2 linked regions of the Ovis aries genome follow. The protein of the gene in region 2 interacts with the protein of the main gene of each other region in a biochemical or structural test. Links are inferred from orthologs where the notes say so. Each region holds a gene or a part of one and is shown on either strand. Other genes may lie near its edges.

Region 1 (7,688 bases), on a different chromosome or scaffold from region 2:
CGCACACTTAGAGAAAGTCCTATTAAGTACTGGAGTACCTCTGCCCAAAATAATAAATTTTATTTTTATTTTTATATTAGTGACCTCCAATTCCTTCTGGCAATAATTAGAGAGTAAACCCTATCTTCGCTACCTAAAGATAGTATCTATTGAAGAACTCCAAGTGAGTAGCAAGAAAGGACTCATCAATATAAATAATAATTATCTTTCTGTCTCTGTAAACCATGCAAGTCTTCCTTACGTGGCATAAAGGCACTGAAACGCAAGTTTAAAATTGGAAGTCTTAGGTTGGGCGCCTTAGGAACCCTTGTGTGTAGATTCACTAGGGAAAGCTTCAGACCAACAGCTGTAGGGAAGCAGGGCCAGCCAGGGGGAGGACTTTAACTGTGATGCAGCCACCACAAAGGTGGGGCACTCTGGAACAGGGGAGGGATCCGCTGAGAGCCGACAGCTGCCAACACTTCCAGCAGCAGATAGAGGGAGAGCCTTAGCCCTCTTATTCAGTTATATATATACACATATGCATACATATACACATGCTGCTGCTGAGTCACTTCAGTCGTGTCCGACTCTGTGCGACCCCACAGACGGCAGCCCACCAGGCTCCCCCGTCCCTGGGATTCTCCAGGCAAGAACACTGGAGTGGGCTGCCATTTCCTTCTCCAATGCATGGAAGTGAAGAGTGAAAGCGGAGTCGCTCAGTCGTGTCCGACCCTCAGCGACCCCATGGACTGCAGCCCACCAGGCTCCCCCATCCCCGGGATTCTCCAGGCAAGAACACTGGAGTGGGTTGCCATTTCCTTCTCCAATACATGAAAGTGAAAAATAAAACTGAAGTCGCTCAGTCATGTCCGACCCTCAGCGACCCCATGGACTGCAGTCTTCCAGGCTCCTCCATCCATGGAATCTTCGAGGCAAGAGTAACATATACATATATATATATAATATATATGTATGTAAATATATATTCTTTTTCATATTATTTTCCATCGTGGTTTATTATGATATTAAATATAGTTCCTTATGCTACACAGTAGGACCTTATTGCTTCCTTTGCCTTTTATAAATAAAATTAATCCCGTTGGATAAAACAATGAAAAAGGAGTTAGAATTTTCTCCCTGAATCAGTTCATTTATTCCTTAACAATAATGCATCTACCAAGGACATCCCATTAGGGGACGTTATGTTTGGTACTGAAGGTACAGAGATGAATAAGAAGTTCACTGTCTAATAAGGACGACAGACATGTAAACAAGTGACTATAAATCATTCATTCATTCCACAAACACATCTAAGCACCAACTATATATACCATGAATAATAAAAACATAATCTTTGCCCTTCTAGCGCTTGCATGCAATGTGGGACGCGTTCAAATAGAAGGTGCTATAGTCTGCCTCCGTGCAGAAAGAATGCCATGGAAAGCTTTGTAACAGTAAGCCAAACAACAGTAGTAACAACAGCAACTAACCTTTACTGAGGGTGTAAAATGTTCCAGGCAAATACATGAATCTTAACTCTCAAATCAATCCCCAGAGGTAGATATTATTATTACATCCTATTTATAGATGAGGAAGTCACAGCACAGAGAGGTTAGTAGTTTCACCCACATCACACAGGTGGTAACGGTTGGCCTGGGATTCAGAGGACATAACATTGGAACTGAGCCTTGAAAGCTGAGTAGCAATCTGCGAAATGGACACAAAAGTGGTGGGGGGAGTATTCCAGACACAGTGAACGGGAGTGAAATGCTTTAAAATCATCAGAAATTGACAAATTCATCTGCATGTAGGCCGCTGGTGGGAGCAGTGGGGGATGGGCACAGACAGGAGCCGCGTGCCCTAGGGAGACTGAAGGCATGTTGGCACAAAGTGCCACATTTAGTAATATCAGTAAGAATATTAATAAGAATTAAAGCGGCTAACATTCTTCCAGAGCAGCCAGACATAGGCTAAATATTTCTACTCCTTATCACATTTTAGTTTTACTGCAATCAAATGAAGCAACTTGACTGTCTGTTACTCCTTGTGAGTAACAGAGCTGTGGCTCAAACCTGGGGAACTCTGATTCAAAAGCCCGTGCTCTCTCCGCAGCTGGCTCTGTAATACGTGGCAATCAACCCCCATCCCAAGGGAAGCAGAGGAGTCAGAGGAAGACAGGAAGGGCAGAGAGGGGTGGATTCCTGCTCCAGCCCAGGAGACAATGAGAAAGTGAAAGTGTTCATTGCTCAGTCCTGTCTGACTGGTCTGAGACCCCATGGACTGTGGCCTGCCAGGCTCCTCTGTCCATGGGATTCTGCAGGCAAGAATACTGGAGTGGGTTGCCATTTCCTTCTCCAGGGACTCTTCCTCACCCAAGTATCGAACCCCAGTCTCCCACATTGCAGGCAGACTCTTTACCACCAGGGAAGCCCAGGAGAATATGATACAGCCTTTAATCAAACAAGTGAGGGTTGTAGGCTGGAGAAGAGATTCGAGAAATGTGTACACAGAGGTGGCCCTGGAGACTTAAGATCAGGCAGTGAAAAGGAGGGAAGAGATGTGGAAAATAGCCAGCTGTCTGAGAGAGGGTGATTCTCTAACCGAGTGGAAGGATGGGAATAAGCAGGAAGAGGTGGGGGCAGAACGGGAGAGGGGGAAATGATGCTCAGGCCAACATCGCCCAGGCTAGAGATGAAAGGGCCTGCTGGGCAACTAAATATCTGAGGCAAATCCACCGTGAAGGCACAGATTGGCCAAAACCATGTTAAAGGAATGAGAAAGGAGGTGTATTTGGCTAAGGAAAATGTAAAGAATAAAAAGATGAACAGAAACCTAGAAAACCTCAACTATTCAGGAAAGAATCCATTTTCCCACATACACACACAGAGATTCCAGACATATCTGCCTTATTTAAAAATCTGAGAAGGAGCTTTCTTACAAGTAAAGGTGACTGTTCTTAATGTTATCTCTGGAAAAACTTATTCTCTTCCCCGTGGGAAGTATTGGATTACTTCTAGGGGGTATATTTCTGCTGCAGAAAATAAGCTAGTTTAATGGGTATGTTTAAAAATGTGAAGGAAAAAAAAAAAAATAGTACTAATAGCTTCTCAGCGTTATTACCAAAAATCTGCTAGGCATTCTGAGCCCAAATCGCGGAAGTCAGGAATTCCACTTTGGAATAAGCTCTCTGCCTGGAAGCACAAGCGCTCCGAGGAAATACCATTCTCTGCCTTTACTTACATTCTCTCTTCACCTTTCACCCTAAACAATATCACAGTAGGGCTTACCTGCCTTAGGAATCTGTACCAAAGGCGATTTCTCCCGTTACTCTCTTTAAAATTTAAAAAAAAAAAAAAAAAAAGGAAAACTTCCCACTGTTAATATGTAGCAAATGAAAAAAAAAAAAAAAACAGCCCTTCTGGTCCGCCCTCCCTGACTGTTGCTACCTTGCAGTTTATGACACAGACTGAGGGAGGGCTGCCGGAGCGAACCAGGCGGCGGTGGGGAGCAAGTCCCTTGCCGGGGACGCGGGAGTCCCTGGAGTGGGCGGCTGTGCCCACTGGAAGCCCGCGACGCGGTCCGCACGGCCGGGGACCATGTCTCCGCGCGCCCTGCCCGGCGAGCCCCGCGGGAGGGAGGGAGCACCCAGCCGGGCGGGGGCAGAGGGAGCCGCCGCGGACCTGGCAACGCTGGCACTGGCTCGACTCTCCCAGACAGTTTTGAAGTCAGCAAAACAGAAATCGAATTACTACGATGCTGGCAGTGGCCGCTCGGGGAGAAGGGGCTCTCTCTGCCGGCTTGATCACCAGGAGAGATGCAGCGAGTCACAGATGAGCCGAGCGTGTCTCCCGGGCGGACCCTGAGGACCCGTGTAAGTTGCCGCGCTCTCCGGCTGGCTGCTGTGTTTTACGCTTGTGTCATTTTCTTTCTGGCTTGAAAGGCTGCTTGGCCGCCATGGAATTGTTTCGATGAGAATTCCCAGTGTGGAAAGTTGTCTGCTGATCCTTAAGATTTTTTTTTTTTTTTCCCTTTGATTAACTAAGCCACAGAATACAAGCTGAAATTCCTGAAGGCAGTCGGGGCAATGCATCCCAAGACTGACAACTATAACCCAAAGTACCACTATACTTACTATGGGATTTACCCTGGATGTGTTTTTAACAGCCTGCCGTACTGTAGGCTGCCTGCAGCCCCACTGTTTGGGATCGAATGCTATTTTAACGCTGCTGTGGCTAAACTAGTATGATCAGTGTAACCAATGGAATGAGATAGAGCTAAATGACAGTCCTGGTAGTTAACAAAACTTTTCTTTTTTTTTTTGGCCAGGATTATATTTTTCTCCCTGACTCCTCAAAACTCAGCAACCTCTCTCTTAAAAGTTTATGCTGCTTTTTTGATCTTGCTTTGGAGAGAAAAAAAAGAAAAGAAGCTAGACAGAGGATTCTACTGAAATTGTGAAGGAAAGCACTGTAAAGAAGCCACCGCAGTTCTTTATCTTCTATTGTAATAATGGAAGAAGAAAAGCCAACCGATGGAGCCCAGCACATACGCCAGCCTCATTGTGACAGAGCTTGGGGACATAAAGCTGAATGGTGACCAGAGCCTGTAACCGGTAAGGTTTTTCTTACACTTCATCTGCTACAAGTTCCGGCTTAGAAATGGATATTCTCTGTGAAGAAAACACTTCTTTGAGCTCAACTACGAACTCCTTAATGCAATTACATGCTGACACAAGGCTCTACAATACTGACTTTAACTCCGGAGAAGGTAACACTTCGGATGCATTTAACTGGACCGTGGACTCGGAAAATCGAACCAACCTTTCCTGTGAGGGCTGTCTCTCACCACCCTGCTTCTCCTTACTTCATCTCCAGGAAAAGAACTGGTCTGCTCTGTTGACAGCGGTAGTGATTATACTAACCATTGCCGGAAACATACTCGTCATCATGGCAGTGTCCCTAGAGAAAAAGCTGCAGAATGCCACCAACTATTTCCTGATGTCACTCGCCATAGCTGATATGCTGCTGGGTTTCCTGGTCATGCCCGTGTCCATGTTAACCATCCTCTATGGTGAGTGGCATTAGCTTCCTAGCTGTACCCACATGGGTAACAAAACGCACGCATGTCATTAGCAGATGAGTCTGGGCTCAGGGGACCAACTAAGCGTAAGGCTTTGTTTATGGAGGAGGGGCTACCATGTTATACTACTTAAATTTTAAAATGAGATCACATTGTAAAAGATCAGACAAACTGTATGCTGTGATCATTGGAGAGTTTTGTGCTTTGAAACATACACAGTTTACACAGGGAGAGAAAGCATTGTGCTTAAAAGCACGTACATTTTATGTAGAATTATAAAGGTCCCAAGACAGTCCTAAAGCAATAGCATCTGTCATATCTGAATCCACTTGGTTTTCAAGCCTTTATATTCCCAACCAAATATCCCAGCCTTCGAGACAGGCCAGTTTGATCTTGGTCACACTGCTTTCAGTACTTCTAATGGAGTGGTAAAACCTTCCCAGTTCCCTTGGAATATTTACAGAGAGAACATTAGTAGTGCAGTGGGTTTAATGTTAAAATATGCAGCGTCTCCATTAGACTAAATGACTTATACCAGTTTTAATTGTTCCCTGCCTGAAGCAGCATTAATTTGGAGGTGTGCCTTTGAATTCTACCCCTCAGCTCTTTAAAAATGCATATGCATAAACTCCTCCCGAATTGTTTGGAGGAGGGTGGGAAACACATGGGAAGAGATTTATCTTGCCTCTTCTCAGTGGAGTTTGAAAGAGTCAAACCTCTCAGCAAGTCAGCAAACACTGGGACGACTTCAGCGGGAAGCAGAATGTGATATTCTTTCCAAATTATGAGTAATATAGCCAGATGTCTCCGTTTAAAAGTGGAAGAGGAGGGGAGATTATTGAGACCGCTGACACAGGCACACCAGCCCGTCACCTAGAGCTAGAAACAGTTTATGGGCATTTTTAGAAGGGATTTTTCTGGCTATGTCTTAAGACCTAAAATATGTGTATCAATCCATCCCCAAGCAGTATGGAGGAGGAAGGAGGTGAGCAAGGGAGCGTGGGCGTCAGGTTTGCACAGGGTCCACAGTGCTCCTTGCAAGGCCAGCCCCCGCTTGACGACTCAAAATGTCACACCAGGATGATCTGATTACATTCGCTTGTCATTTCCCAGACATCCGGGAGAGGTCCCCGCTTCCTAAAACCCTGCCATGTGGAAGGCAAACTCCAGGAGTGGGAGATGGCTCCCAGAGGGCCCATCCGGGAACCCAAGCCCCGGTGGGAGGCGGGGAGCGGTAGGTACCCCAGAGCGGCGAGTGGGGCTGGCAGATGTCAGCCAGGTTAGCAAGTCGAGTCCAGCTGGGCACCGCCGGCTCGGGGTGCAATGGTGCCCCCTGGTGGCCGAGGCTCTGTGCGCAGTTGATTCCCGAGAGAGACGCGCCTCTCCTTTGGCTGGTCCCCAGGACTCCACAGAAATGCCCCCTCCTTATCCCCACCACAGAAACCCAGACTACGGTCAGCCGCTGCCTCCTTGCAGAGAAAACTCCTCCCACGGTCAGCATCAGTTCCGACCAGGCAGCGGGTGGTTTCCTCCCAGGCACTGGGCTCTCCTTGGAGCTCAAGCTCTCTGCATACAGCATAAAAGGCGCCAAGTCAGACTTGTCTCCTGCGCTTTAACTTTTCTAAACATCAGTGGTGGCGTCTTGGTAGAGATGGTTTGTGAATAGAGACTTTGTTCAGCTTTGCGGGTCCAGAGCGTGGGGAAAGATGGTTTTCATAATTTTCCTTCTTAACATGTGTGCAGATCTAACACCACGGCTTAGATTGTCATCAAAACTAAGGAAGGTTCCTATAACCATTTGATCTCCCTCTAAAACAGATACAGGAGACTGTGTGTCCCTCAGACATACCCTATCTTTTTAACATAGCAGGTGACTTCCTGCCCTGCATCTCACAGTGGATCCTTATGGTAGCTTTAAGTCAATTTAATGTTGAGGTCCAACTTCCACCCACCCTCCTGGATATCAGGACACCCAGAAAAGCTGTTCAACTGATTCTAATGTGCACCCCTGGGTGAGAACCACTGCTCCAGGCAGTGGTTGCCCAAGTGTGGTTCCTGGACAGGTAGCATCCGTACCAGCTGGGAAATTGTTAGAAATGCAATTCTTCCTGCTCCACTGCACATGCGTAGAATCAGAACACCTGGAGGCGGGCTCCAGTGGCTCATTTTAAGAAACCACCTCGGAGATTCTGAGGCTCCTTCAAGTTTCAGCATCACTTCCCTGAAACAGTTCTCAGAAGAATACCATCCTTTTCTTCACCACTGTCTTCATCCCTCCTGCCCCACCTCCTGTCCCTCCAGTTTGAATTTAATCCCCAAATTATTAGGGAAGCTTCATTTTCATGAAGGCATATACCCAGTCTGTGGAGAAGGGCATGGCAACCCATTCCAGTATTCTTGCCTGGAGAATCCCAGGGAGAGAGGGGCCTGGTGGGCTATAGCCCACAGGGTCTCACAGAGCCGGACATGACTGAAGAAACAGCATGCACACATGCCCAGTCTGGATTTTTAAACATTTCTTCATTCACACCAATAGCATTTTTGGCAGACTGCTAAATGCCGTCACTGCACAAGACTGAGCAATTGTAATAATGGCTAAGAGATGGTCTAACCTCAGGAAACCTACA
Region 2 (5,929 bases):
CTACAATTCTGCCATGCTTATAAGACAAGCAGTCTTGGTTTTTAAAACACAAACTTTCTAAAATCCAAGTCAATTGTCAACGATTAAAACTATGCTGTAGGCTAATTAAGAGACACAATTCTGTTCTAAAAAAAAAGAAGCAGCATAATAAAAACTGCTATAGAACTTTCACTTTCTAAATTTTTCAACTGTTTTTGTGTCCTAAAAGTTATCATAAATTCAGATTAAATTTGGTGGAACTAAATCAGCACAAAATTTCCTTGACAGCCAGAATCACAAGAACCAAACTGAATTCTTTTTCTTCTTACAAAGGCTAGATGACTCCCAAATTAAGTCACTTTGCACCATACATCCCTGGAGAAAAACATGGCCCAACACACATGTCCCACTTAATCTAGTTCAAACGAGTAACATAACGTGAGAAACTGCACTGTGTAATTCCTTTATTTTCTGCATATTAGTGCTTTACCAACACTACAACCATAAAGAACACAATTCCAAGTACTGTACTTTTTAGTTTGGGGAGATCACAGTCTACAGACTCATTTACTTATATTAGACAAGATTAACCCATTCAACTTACTGCAGTTTTTAAATGCACATAAAATACAGAAATTGATGCAATTAAACAAAATCCTCAGGATCTTATTTCTTAAATTCTTAGATTGTAATTTTTTTCTGCAGGCTTAATTACCGGTCCCCATGATCACCAATGGTTATGGCTCAATTTAACTACACCAATTTATCAACCTTTTATATCCTTAAAGATAACATAAGTGAAAATTACAATTTCTTATCAAAAGGTTTAGGGTTTTCCAAATTTCAAATATTTGCTCCCCCTCCTCCCCCCACCTTAAGACATTTCAAATAAACTAAAAATAACCACATCTCACCTGCAACATTCCTTAGCAATCACTTGATGTATAAAATTTTAACTATGCTCCCAGTTATTTTAAGACACAAAAATGGCTGCCTACCAATGTCTTGTCACAAGTTAGAAATACTACATTTAAGAATTAACATGAGGGTTTCAAGTTTCCTCCAGTTTAGGCATTTATACCTTTGTGCTTGTCTCTTCAGGATGTTACTGTAATATTGATATTTGTATAACCCATGTTTATGTACCTTATATGTAATCATTTAAAACACTAGTAATTAAATGTATGATGGAGCTTTGGGAATTTTAAAAGCAACGAAAATGTTCTTAGATGTGTGTCAGCTTCATTTCCAGAGATACTTCTACTAAAGTGAAACTGAGAACTTGATACTTTAGTTGCATTTTGAATTCAAAAATCCCTCTGCACCATTAGGAGCCTACAACATAGCACCTTTTCTCATCTGCTTTAAGTAAAACGTTTGTCAAGAGTTTTACTTTGAAGAGTTAATTTTCTATAGCCTTGTATTTCTCATACATCTTTGGTAAAAGCTCCATTATACAATATGGCCAAAGCATGAAGGACCAATACTGTCCAATCATATACCATGATATCCCGTTCAATTTTTGTTTTCAGACACCCTCATAAACAAAACCCACTTCACCTTTTCCTGTAAACTGCGTTTGCAGTCTACATTTTTGAAATTCCCTAAGTTTTAATTCCTTGAGGATCTCTACAATTAATCCTTAAGGCTATACGAGAACCAGATGCTGCTACACTGTTCTATACCAAGCATTAACATTTGGTTCAAAGTTTTATCATAGTGGTCTCAATAATCTAGTTACTGGTCCTAACCAGCTAAGCAAGTAATCTTGTTAAGATCTGGGTATCACCAGCAAGCACACTGCTTACACTTGAAGAAAAATAAGTTTACATTCATTGTCATCTGTAGGTTCTTCTTCTACATCTTACTTCCCCTTTGTCATTCCTCAAGTCTACACATCATTCATTCATCACATTTCCTTCCTTAAAGGAGATAGTGTATTTTTGAACCAACAGGATATCTATTTGCATGAGTTAATCCAACAGAATACTTTTTATAAAACATCTTTTCCAGTGTTCTAATTAATGGATATGGATCACTCATTTACTAAAAAAAAAAAAAGACATCTTCAGGTTAATCAGTTGCTGTAATGTGGAAACAGGTTTTTTTCAACTAGGTAAAAGGTGCATATAATTTGAATTGTTAAATAATTAATTAATGAACAAAATAACCATTCCAGTAATTTAAAATCTACTGGTCTTTAGATATTTGAAACATGGTAAAAGGATATATTCCAGTTTTGCCCAAAAGTCACTTAAAATATCTACAAATATTTCATCTGAGTATGTTATACACCATTATTGCTCCATTTTCTGGAAGAGTATGTTTTTAAAGTTAACAAAGAGGGAAAACACAGCAAAGTTGCTAATTTTGAAGTGAAAAAAAATCTGCGTCCTTGACAGGTTATATTTTCAGTTTTATGCAGTGTAAGTTAGCTTTGCAATGGGGAACTTGAGTTTTATCCTTACTCATGCATGATGTACGTTTCAGAACTTAATAGCTGAAATTTCAAAGAACTGCTTACATTATCTGTTTAACATACTGATGTGCAACTGGAACATATTACAAGGATATTACTCATTATTTGCCACTGTGGGCTAAGTTTACTATACTGGTCTTAGATATAAAAGGTCACATTTGAATTTACTTAAAGTCAGAACTCATAAGAGGGGGCGAAAAGGCCTTAAATATAAAAGACAAACAGCAGTTTGATTAAGCAATAATTTTCAGTTTACTAGATGAAACAGACTTGCAACATAGTCTGCATGAATGCAAAATAAGCCATCTACAGCAAGTGATAAGGAAACTGGGCAAAAAGGAAAAAAGCATACATTGGAAAAGAAGATTCTCTCGAGATAAAAAAATCAAACCATTATTATAAAGGAATTTACCAAGAACTGCTATATTTCCCCCATCCCATTTGCTGGAAGTCAACAAGAGCATCTAGCACTTTGTGTTCATGTCAAAAAGTCAGATCAGAGCATCCTAACGCAAAGCAAAAAAAGAAAGAAAATCCCTAACCCCCTCCCCCAAACCGCAGAACTGTAACTCCAGAGTTCAAATTCAAAAGAAGAGAAAGTGGCAATTGAAAGAGGTGATGGTGGCGATAATCCTATGAATGGGTTTTTGATTTCTCTCCTTTCCGGGGGATGGGTGGAGAATGCTCATTAGGATTTGTAGTTAGAGGTTAACCATGTGAGCCCCTCATAGAGTCCGTCCCCCGAGGTGGCACAGGAGGGCTGCACATACCAGTTCCTGTCCCGAATCCGGGTCAGGCCCAGTTTCTCCTGGATCTCGTGGGGTTTCATGGCATCGGGGAGGTCCTGCTTGTTGGCGAAGATGAGGATTATGGCGTCCCTCATCTCCCGGTCATTGATAATGCGGTGCAGCTCCTGGCGGGCCTCGTCGATGCGGTCGCGGTCGGCGCAGTCCACTACGAAGATCAGACCCTGGGTCCCGGTGTAGTAATGCCGCCAGAGCGGCCGGATCTTGTCCTGGCCGCCCACATCCCATACGTTGAACTTGACGTTTTTGTAAGTCACCGTCTCCACGTTGAAACCCACAGTGGGGATGGTGGTCACCGACTGGCCCAGCTTCAACTTGTACAGGATGGTTGTCTTGCCGGCCGCGTCCAGGCCCAACATGAGGATCCGCATTTCCTTGTTCCCGAAGATCTTAGATAGCACCTTCCCCATCGCGTCGGAAGAGCCGGGGCCGGGGGCATTCAGGTGTCCCGGGTCCCCTCCGCCAACAACGCCGCCGCAGCCGCGAAACAGAAACGGAGCCTCCCAGTCGCGAGGGCGCCCGTGCGGCCTGCGTGGGAGTCGCCTCCTCTGGGCAGAGGCCCGGGCCCGCCGCTCACTCGGGCATCACCCACCACACAACTTGATTCCTCCAGGCGCCGCGGCCGCCGGGCGCTGAGTCTGCGCCGGGAGAGCCGCCGCCCTGCTGAGGCGCGGCCCGGCCCGGAACTGCCCTTCCCCCCGCAGGCGCCGCGCGAGCGCCGCCGCGGTTCCCGCTCCTCCGCCTTCTCCTGGAAGACTGCGGCCCTTCGGCCCGGTCCCCGGTCCGCGAGCACCGCGCTCACCACCGACCCAGGCCACCCGAGAGGCAGCGCGGCTCTGGCGCCCGGTCAGGTCATAGATCCTCGCGGGAACTCGGTGCGCTGCCTGCGGAGACACAGAGAGGGAAAAAGGAGTTACTGCGGGAGCCCCAGCGGAGAGTGGAAGCCGAGGGGGCCCGCCTCGTCAGCTCAGCCCAGGAGGTTACCTCCAGCCGCCGCCCCGCGCGCGGGCTCCCTCCGGCCTCCACAGCCTCCTCCCAGTTCTGCCGCTGCCGCCGCCGGAAAAGGCGCCGAGGAAACCGCCTCACTTCCCCTCCCGACTACGCAGGCGCAACAGAGGGAGTCCAACCGTTCGGGCAAGAGCGACCTCTGTAAGGAGAGCGGCCCGCGCGCCAAGCGTCGGGGCGCCACGCGCTGGGGGCGGGGCTACGGCGGCCCGGAGGTCTCGCGGGTGCGGCCAACCCGCACCCCCGCGAACCTGGGACTCTGACTAGCTCCCACCTGTCTGTCGCTCCTCTAGCGATTCCTTCCTCTATGCGTTCCTTCTTCTGCGCTCTCACTTCCTCCACTCCCAACTCGATCCAGGGGAGCTGATCCTCTACGGAGCTCCAAGGGGTGGGGCTCACGGACCGCCCGCTCCCCCAACGAACGCCTTCCCCGTGCTCCTTCCAGGCCTGTTCGCAGACCCCGATACCTGCCTGATGCTCCGCGAGGTCCCTCCAGCCTGCCGCAGCCTTCGGGAGCCCTCAGTCTCCCAGGGAAGCCGTAGCCACGGTTTTTACCTTTCCCCTGGCCCTCTTTGGCTTCCTTTTATCCCTCGTGTTCTGTGCGTTTCCTGAAAGACACGTGGGAGGCAAGTGGTTCGCGTGGAATCTGCCAGTCAGTGCGGCGCTTTTACTGGGCTTCGGTTTGTTCTCAAGCCCGTCTTTGGGGCATTTGAGCCCAATCTCAACACATCTCGGCAGGACCAGTCCACGTTTTTGTTTTGTGTTTTTTTAATTACAGTATTATCAACAGTTTCCATGCTTTTTCAGCTTTTTAGGAGGTGATAAATTTTCATGTATAAATATTATCATCTTTTAGTGTAATTAATAATAACTTCTTACCCAGCCACTCATTTGGAGAAGGAAATGGCAACCCACTCCAGTGTTCTTGCCTGGAGGATCCCAGGGACGGGGGAGCCTGGTGGGCCGCCGTCTATGGGGTCGCACAGAGTCGAACACGACTGAAGCGACTTAGCAGCAGCTGCAGCAGCAGCCACTCATTCTCAACTTTAAGAATTAGAAAGACTACTTCTGTTGCCTCGATTTGAGCATTTAACCTTACTGAGTTATCTCATGTTTAAACTGAGTGTACTACTGACTTTGCTGTCCACAAACCCTATTTGAGGGTTAAGTAATAAGTATAATGTTTGTAGAAAACTTAAGGAAACCTTTTTGTGTCAGATGTTTATTGGTAAAGCTAGACCTAAAGTGAAAGCTGGAAATGAACGAAAAACGGGAAAATAATGTTCTTTTTTTAAAGAAAATGCTGTAATAACATAAGGTAACATACTTCTTTCTTCACAGTTTAAGAAAATGTGATAGTGGTAGATGGGTTAAATGATAACCTCATAAACGTCAGCCTGAAGTAAATTTACTTACCAAAGTTATTAATATTCTAGCAGTGATTTACTTACCATCAGCCTGAATATGCATGCACTGTCTTAAAATTGAAAGAAAGATTTAGAGTCAGAAGATTGGGGTTCAGAGTGTCACCCCTCCATTTCATAGCTGTGAATCCTTTCCTCTAAACCTTTGTAAATTCCATCTTCTTTAAGCTGTTGAAACAGATGAAAAATGATATCATCTAGAATGAAAGTCACTATATTGATTGTCATGAACAGTC

Evidence for each region.
Region 1: the proteins of ARF6 (region 2) and HTR2A form a complex in vitro, tested with the Homo sapiens proteins (2 studies listed by BioGRID). The link is inferred for Ovis aries from reciprocal best matches to the Homo sapiens genes ARF6 and HTR2A.

Annotation. Positions count from the first base shown.
Region 1 is NC_056063.1:17,204,192-17,211,879, reverse strand, and holds the start of HTR2A (5-hydroxytryptamine receptor 2A), read left to right. Parts: upstream 1-3,693; 5' UTR 3,694-3,853; intron 3,854-4,308; 5' UTR 4,309-4,640; coding exon 4,641-5,052; intron 5,053-7,688. UniProt on the Homo sapiens protein: G-protein coupled receptor for 5-hydroxytryptamine (serotonin).
Region 2 is NC_056060.1:41,106,432-41,112,360, reverse strand, and holds ARF6 (ADP-ribosylation factor 6), read right to left. Parts: upstream 3,675-5,929; coding exon 3,147-3,674; downstream 1-3,146. UniProt on the Homo sapiens protein: GTP-binding protein involved in protein trafficking that regulates endocytic recycling and cytoskeleton remodeling. GTP-bound form plays an important role in the transport of multiple palmitoylated proteins form the Golgi to the plasma membrane.